2 linked regions of the Rattus norvegicus genome follow. The protein of the gene in region 1 purifies or fractionates together with the protein of each later gene. This does not show direct contact. Links are inferred from orthologs where the notes say so. Each region holds a gene or a part of one and is shown on either strand. Other genes may lie near its edges. The genes, in order: Ubxn6 and Nploc4.

Region 1 (4,311 bases):
AGACAGATAGGTAGATCTCTGTGAGTTCAAGGCCATCTTGGTCTCCATAGTCAAACTCTGACTCCATATATCTACAATCTCTCTTTCCCTTCCTTTTCCAGGCAGGTTTCTTTTTGTAGTCCTGGCTGTCCTGGAACTCAATCTATAGACCAGGTTCTGCCTGCCTCTACCTCCTGAGTGATGGGATTAAAGGAATGTGCCACCAATGCCTGGCTCAATTTTTTTCCCAAAGGACTAAAACATCATGTCCCAAAACATTTACTGAGCACTTCCTGACTGCCTTCCTTATGGTGCTCCACTCCTCTCACTGTAGCTCTTGGAAACCAGTCTTCCACAGTTCTCATCAAATGCCTCCCCTGCTCCCCTTCAGCTATGGGGCTTGGAAGTCACCAGGGCTTCTGTCCTTCAGCTTGGTGCATCTTGGGTCTAATGGTTGGAAAAAATAGTAAGATTACTAACAGCCTGGGTAGCCCCCAAAGCTGCTGCATCCCTGACAATTTCACACCAGCACAGATGAAAACTTGTCCATAGTCCAGCAAGACCAAAATGCAATGTGCAATTAGGGCAGAATTACATGCACAGAGGCAGGAGGTGATGGAGAGAGCTCCTGGAATCTCAGGTGAGCATCCGATGCCCCTTCCTAATGAATGACCATCAATAGTGAAGTATATGATTTGGGGGCGTCTCTTGCACAGACACAGTGGCCCTGATGTAGATGATGGCTGTTTTTCACATGAACAATAGTGCTCTACTATGCCCGTGTCCAAAGCATCCATCTTTTTGTTGAGTGTACACACCACATGAGATGGAAGTGTTGCAGGAGAATAAACTCAGCTTTGTGCATGCTGAGAAAGCTCTGTACCAACTGTGGTCCTGTGGGACTGTATTGTAGTCCAGGCCAACTTTGACCATGCCTGCACCAATCTCTGTCGGCTCCTTTCTGGCTTGTCCCTCCCAGAGCGGATTTCAGGCTCCTGCACAGCATATCCATATTAATTTTCTCTGTAGTACAGGCTAGCCTCGAAAGCCTGACATCAACCCAGGTTCCAGTAGCTCTGGAGACACTTCAGGGCTGTTCGGTGTCTGGATGCTCTCTTGCCCCCCCCCCCCCCCCGGCGGTTGCCGCGGTCCTGAGGGAGAGCCTGTCGTCCTGGCAACGGCGTCCGCAGACAGGAAGATGGCGCCCCGCCCGCGAGGTGCCGCAAGGCGATTGTCACGTGTGCCGGGCGGGACTTCCGTCGCCGAGATATTTTCTTTCCGGTGGTTGGCCGCCTGCTCCTCACCCACCCGGGCCCTGCGCCCTCCGCCCCGCGGCCCACGCCGCCGGGCCGCCGCCATGAAGAAGTTCTTCCAGGAGATCAAGGCTGACATCAAGTTCAAAAGCGCGGGGCCCGGCCAGAAGCTTACGGACTCCGCAGGGTGTGTGACGCTGGTTGGGCGACGGAAAAGGGCGAGGGCCAGGCAGGGCCTTCCGCTGGGTGTCAGGGATCTCTCCAAGCTATACAGAGCCGGAGCAGATGAGAGGGCGGGATGTGGAGATGGGCGGGGCCGAAGAGTGTAAATCAGGAGGGCGGAGCCTAAGAGGAGGGCGGGGCGTTGTAGCTGCGGTGGGCGTGGCAGAAAGGGAGGGCAGTGGGTGGCCTAGAGCGGGTGGGCGGGGCATTACGGATAGGCGGACCCGATGGGCGGTGGTGTCCAAGCCGCGTTGTTTAAGGCCATAAGACTCCTAGTCCTGGGTACAGCTACAAATAGTGGGACAACTTCCATGATGAGGAAAATGGAGGTTCAAAGGATCCTTAGGCCAGGAGCTGGTACTGGAAGGGATAATGTCTGGAGGTACAATGTCTATGATCTGTGCACCTCTGTAAAAGTAAATTTCACTTTTATTTCCTCAGATGAAGTGATGAGATGAGAGTTGTGTGATTACACTGCTTGGGCTGAGCCCAGAGCATTTCCTCCCATGTTCTAACAACTATCCCAGGAGGCTTCTAGCACAGTATAATTTACCAAGCTGACTAATTCAATCTGGCTTCTCTCAACTTCTCACTGAATTGCTCTGCTTGGGCTCAAACTAAGTCTGGCAATCTCTTCTAATCTTCTGGTTCCTTCTCATTCTCTAGCAGCAACCTACCTCCAAACTGTACTGACTGAACTGCTTCAACTCACTCTCTGTGCTGCCTCTTAAGTCCTCTCTTTCCTGTCCTCAGACTGACTCATTCTGTCAAATCTTTCTCTTGATTTGTCATTTTGTCTGCCCCTCAGGTAGATTCTACTTTTTTTTTTAAATGCATTTTCTTTAATCTTTTTTTTTCTTTTTTTTTTTCGGAGCTGGGGACCGAACCCAGGGCCTTGCGCTCGCTAGGCAAGCGCTCTACCGCTGAGCTAAATCCCCAACCCCTAGATTCTACTTTCAAACATGACTTCTTCCTTCTACAAACTAACCTTACCTACACTGTTAGGGATTAAAGATACATACTAAGGGCCTGTCTGTATTCTAGCCAGAGATCAAAGATTTGTAGCATGTCTGCATTCCTCCTACATATCATCAGATGTGATCCCTTGCCAGAGTGACCATGTTTCTTGATTAAAATTCCTCTATACACCTTTTTGCATATTTGGGTCTCCATGTCTGTCCAGGGAGAAGACCTCCAAAGGAAAGTCACCACAGCTGGCCCTCCGGCAGCCCCGTCAGGGCCCCACTGATGAGGCACAGATGGCTGCCGCTGCTGCCCTGGCCCGGCTGGAACAGAAGCAACCCCGAGCCCGGGGCCCTACATCTCAGGACTCCATTCGGAACCAGGGTGAGTTCTGCTCTAGGTGGAACCTGGGGTAGGCTGAAAAGGGTCCACAGAGGGTGGCTGTGGGTCCCATGTGGAAGGAGACACCATTGGTTCTTGCTTGGAGACCTGGAGAAGACAGAGACTAGACTTTACTTCCTGGAGCATTGGCAGGGAGGGTTGCTAGCTCTCGGACACACCTCACACACCCCACTCCTTGGAGGATGATGGGTATGGCTGAGCCTCTGGGTTATGGCTGGAGTCCTTACTCTGTTCATATTACACCTTCCTACACTCAGTGAGAAAGGAACTTCAGGCCGAAGCCACCTCCAGCAACAATCCAGGAGCTCCTGGGACCAACTCGGTAAGGATCTGCTGGGGACTGCCCAATGTTCTGGGCCAGTATGGAAGCAGCTGAAGCCTAGGAAGGGAGAGCTTTATACATATGAGCCATACCTGTGGTAGTGTGGATGAGAGCTATGGGCCTATATGTCCAGCTATAAGAGCCTCTTGTCTTCTATCTTCAGGTACCTGAGACCAAAGATGAAATCTCTCCCCATTTGGCAGTGCCTGGTGTGTTCTTCATCTGTCCGCTCACAGGTGTCACCCTGAGGAGGGACCAGCGGGATGCCCACATCAAGCAGGCCATCCTGTCAGTAAGTGGCCTATGCCCTAGCTACTGGACGCATTTCCATCAAGCCTGGTGTCTTATTCACTATTCTGCTATTACAATGAAGAGAAACCATGGTCAAGGCAGTTCTTACAAAAGAAAGTATTTAATTGGAGCTAGCTTAGTTTCAGGGGGTTAGTCTGTTGTGGCTACCTTGGCCTTAGCTTCACCCAGCACCTGGGAGTTGAACGACTGGCAGTCATGGGGACCTCAGCCAGGTGCTATGGTTCTGACATGGCTGCAGTTGCTGTCTCTCTTCCCATTCCTCAGCAGTTTTATGGGGTCCTCAGCATGCCTCTTCTCCCCCAGCACTTTTCCACAGACCCTGTGGCTGCCTCCATCATGAAGATACATACATTCAATAGAGACCGGGATCGAGTGAAGCTGGGTGTGGATACCATCGCCAAGTGAGTGAGCCTGTTTACCCAAGAGATCTGAGCACTGAGGCGGCTATGGTGTAGGCTCCGTGTGCTTTGTGCACCAGGCTCAGCCTGGCTATGTGAGGATCTGAGTGTAAAAACAGTGAAGTAAGGTCCCCTGGGTTACTCTCTCCCTTCTCCCTCCCAGGTACCTGGACAATATCCATTTGCATCCAGAGGAAGAAAAGTACCAGAAAATCAAACTGCAGAACAAGGTGTTCCAGGTAGCTGCAATGGCTGTCCTCGGGTCACTGGGCATGGGGTGGGTGTAATGCAGTGTTGCTTGGATTTTTGTGGTTTACTTTGGTTGTTGTTGAGACCAGGTCTCACTATGTAGTCCAACCTGACCCAGTACTGGGAGTCAGCTGAGTTGTGACCCAGCTTCCAAAGTGCTAAGACACAGGCACGGAACTCATTACCCATCTTTCTTTTCCTACTTGAATTT
Region 2 (3,812 bases), on another chromosome or scaffold:
AATTGAACCTTGGTCCTTTAGAAGAGCAGCCTTTGCTCTTAGCCACTAAGTCATTTCTTCAGGCTACCCCTCCCTAGTTCTTTTTTTTTTTTTTTTTTTTTTTTTAGATTTATTTATTTATTATTTATAAGTACACTATAGCTGTCTTCAGACACACCAGAAGAGGGCATTGGATCCAATTACAGATGGTTGTAAGCCACCATGTGGTTGCTGGGATTTGAACTCAGGACCTCTGGAAGAACAGTCAGGGCTCTTAACCACTGAGCCATCTCTCCAGCCCCCTAGTTCTTTTTTAGAGAAATTAAAGCCACGTGTTTATGACTCTGTCTGTACAGGGAGTAATGGAGAGAGCTGAGTCAGCCCTGAGGAGAATAACTTTTGTCTCATACTTTGTATCCTAGGCCAGTAAATTGTGGCCCTCTTATTTTGTCTTTGTCAATATGGAAGTAATGTAATTCCCAACTCACTTTGCTGCATTTTATAGCTAAGTACACAGTGTTCTTTTTTTTTTTTAACATATTATTTATTTATTTATTAGTACACTGTATCTGTCTTCAGACACACCAGAAGAGGGCATCAGCTCCCATTACAGAGCCACCATGTGGTTTCTGGGAATTGAATTCAGGACCTCTGGAAGAGCAGTCAGTGCTCTTAACCACTGAGCCCATAGTGTTATTCTTTTTTTTTTTTTTTTTTTTTCCTTTTCTTTTTTTTCGGAGATGGGGACCGAACCCAGGGCCTTGCACTTGCTAGGCAAGCGCTCTACCACTAAGCTAAATCCCCAACCCCCGCATAGTGTTATTCCTTGAAGCAGCTTTTGGTGAGGTATTTCAAATGTCAGAGACAATCTTACTGATACTCTTGCTACATTTCTTCCCATCTCAAACACAATGGCATTTCCAAAGAAACCTCACCATGTTTACCTGGGAAACCTTACCATGTCTGCCTGGGAAACTGTTTGTCATTAGAGTTTTATTTCGTGCTTCAGTGCTTTTTGAAAATTATCTGGAAGGCATTTTAATTGTGCATCATTCTCACTCATATATAAGAAGTAAAACTTTAGTGAAATTAAAGGGATAGGATCCAAACTGCATTCTGTTTACAGGGTTGAACCCTGCCGAGTTAGCGTCTCTGCAGGTCCTGTCCCAAAAGGTCCTCCTCTGCCAGTGTCCAGAGACACTGACTCCCAGCACCCAGGCTGCTCTCTCCATGTAACTGGCAGAACTCAGCATCCAACTTCTCCCTTTTCCATCACTCATTAATTGGCTTGTTTGGTGGGTATAGCAAGTTATGCCATTGGGAGTGACAAGTTCACACAAGCCTAGGTGGATTGTCGGTTTGCACACACACTGGGCCTATAAGACCATGTGATTTACAAGTATATCCATATTCAAGATGGTCTTATGTATCCATTTTTAATTTACTTTTTTTTTTATTGGACAGTGTGTTATGGATGTGGTTCTCTGCTATCAAATGCAGATTTACATCTACGGTATTACGTGTTCTTTTTCCTCTTCTGTTACATATTTCATTCTACTACATTTTTCATTCCATATTAAGAATTGCATTGCTGTGAAACATGTCTTCAGAACATTTTCATTATGTATGTCTGAAATCTGTTCTCCTTCAAACAACAGCTTCCCTGAAGCCCTGGTCACCACCATTCCGTTTTCTCTTCCCACTAAGTGTTGAGTTCCACTATTTCAGATGTCTCTTGTAAGTGGAGCTATACTGTGTGTGTAGGGTTAAAATCCCAATAAATGGTCTTTAAAACAGCCTCTTTCTACCTTATAAACTTGCTTGGAAAGCAGATCTTGAGCCCTGTAAATGTTGTTTGAGCAAGATGGCCTGTGCTAAGTAAGCGACCTTTTTTATATATGGCTTTATGCTCTGAAAATAATGTTGGCATGTGTCACTGGTGAGATGGTTTATGTTGAAAACAACTCACAGACCAGCACTTGGGAGGTGCAGGTAGTAGGATCAGGAGTTCAAGGCCAGCTTTAGCTGCATTCTGAGTTTGAAGCTAGCCAGAGCCATTCGAGATCTGTGCCACTGCCATCTCTACCCTAGCCAGAAAAGAAGATGACAGCAACTTATGGAATCTTAGTGATTGGTTCATTTGAGACTATTCATTTCAAGGTCTCATTGATGGGTTTTCAGAGCCCAGAACCTCCAGAGTCCCACATGGAGTACTTAATATCTGTTGAGTTAAATGATTAATAGGTCCCATAGCACACGTGATTTGATGATCTACCTCCCTTCCTGCTTATCTGTTTTTCCTTCCTTTCTCCCTTTCATTCCCCCCCCCCCCCCCCCCCAGGGCTGGGGACCGAACTCAGGACCTTGCGCTTCCTAGGTAAAGGCTCTACCACTGAGCCAAATCCCCAACCCCTCTCCCTTTCATTGTTTTGTGTCAGGTTGTCAGGGTCTCATGCATTTAGTCCAGTCTTGCTGGGTAGCTGAGACTAGCCTTGAACTCTATACTCCGTTTGCATCTTCCCAGCGCTGGAATCACAGGAGTGTGCCACTGTGCCCAGCTGACTTTTCGTTTTAAAAATCTTTTACACTTATTTATGTATTGGGGTGGATGGTTCATGCCGTGGTATACATGTGGCGGTCAGAGAACAACTTGCAAGAGTCAATTCTCTTGTCCTACTATGGGTCCAGTATCAGATTTTGGTCATAAGGCTTGGCAGCAGGCACTAGCGGTTGAGACTCTTACTTGCTGCAGCTGGCTTTTCCACTGGTAGCATCATTCTGCACTCCATTTTCTCTCTACTGGTAGGTTTATGATGGGAATTGGGTTTTCAGTATTGTTTCAAAAGTAGCAATTAACTTACACAGTGGCCTTGACTCTGGCTGGTTCCACCTTTTTTTATTATTTATACAGGATCTTTGGCTTCTTGTGGACCACTTACTGAATTGTCACTGGTGTGATCAATACAGTTTTTCCTGAGTGAAACGACAAGGGATGCATACTCTGATGAGCACTGTCTAACATTACTAATTGTTCTTCCTGTGGTCTTGGCACCTTCTGGCATTTGATACTTGGATGTTTCATTACATTTCTGTTGTTTGGGGCTTGTAGGTTGCAAAGGAGTTTGGCTTCCAAAACAACGGCTTCTCGGTTTACATCAATAGAAACAAGACTGGAGAGATAACAGCATCGTCCAGCAAATCCCTGCATTTGCTAAAAATCAAGTAAGTGTCCAGCTGGTGGGAGACAGGCAGGAGGAGGAGGTGGATGGAGTGCCCTGACTGACTGAGGCTGTCTGGACTTTCTTTTACCTCTGGATACTATTTCTGTGGCTCTGTTCACTGCTCACATACAGGGGATTGTGTCCCATGGCTGGTGTACAACAGTCATGCGAGGCCAGCAGTTACTACTGAGCAGGTTTGACTGTGGAATTCTGGTTATAGTCTTGGGTCCATATCTGCAGTAGGGCCAACGTCTTGTCTGGAGGAGGGGACATAGAGCACAGCTGTTTGGGAAAGAGATGCCATCATGACAGCCCTGCTTACTAAGAAGATAGGTGAGCTACGGTGGCCGTTCTCACTTGCATGCCAGTGGGACTTTGACAAAGGCCCCTCACTCCTGCCTGTGGTCATGGTGTCCTGGGTCATGCAGCTCTTTGTGAGTGCAGAGGAGTGTGGTCGCAACAAGGATGAAGCCTGCAGAGTTGAAAATGTTTGCTCTGTGGCTTTTTATAGAGCAGCTTGTTCACCCTTCTATAAACTGGGTACCTGCATTCAGCAGTCTTTTATTTTCCATGTATTTATCTCATGTGTATGAGTGTTTTACCTACATGTGT

The links.
Region 2: the proteins of Ubxn6 (region 1) and Nploc4 purify together in Homo sapiens (affinity purification with western blotting; 3 studies listed by BioGRID and IntAct, with this or other methods). This does not show direct contact. The link is inferred for Rattus norvegicus from reciprocal best matches to the Homo sapiens genes UBXN6 and NPLOC4.

Annotation. Positions count from the first base shown.
Region 1 is NC_086027.1:990,075-994,385, reverse strand, and holds the start of Ubxn6 (UBX domain-containing protein 6), read left to right. Parts: upstream 1-1,336; coding exon 1,337-1,419; intron 1,420-2,637; coding exon 2,638-2,801; intron 2,802-3,076; coding exon 3,077-3,141; intron 3,142-3,304; coding exon 3,305-3,433; intron 3,434-3,717; coding exon of another isoform or gene 3,718-3,756; coding exon 3,757-3,854; intron 3,855-4,014; coding exon 4,015-4,090; intron 4,091-4,311. UniProt on the Homo sapiens protein: May negatively regulate the ATPase activity of VCP, an ATP-driven segregase that associates with different cofactors to control a wide variety of cellular processes.
Region 2 is NC_086028.1:106,198,139-106,201,950, reverse strand, and holds part of Nploc4 (nuclear protein localization protein 4 homolog), read left to right. Parts: intron 1-3,088; coding exon 3,089-3,201; intron 3,202-3,812. UniProt on the Homo sapiens protein: The ternary complex containing UFD1, VCP and NPLOC4 binds ubiquitinated proteins and is necessary for the export of misfolded proteins from the ER to the cytoplasm, where they are degraded by the proteasome.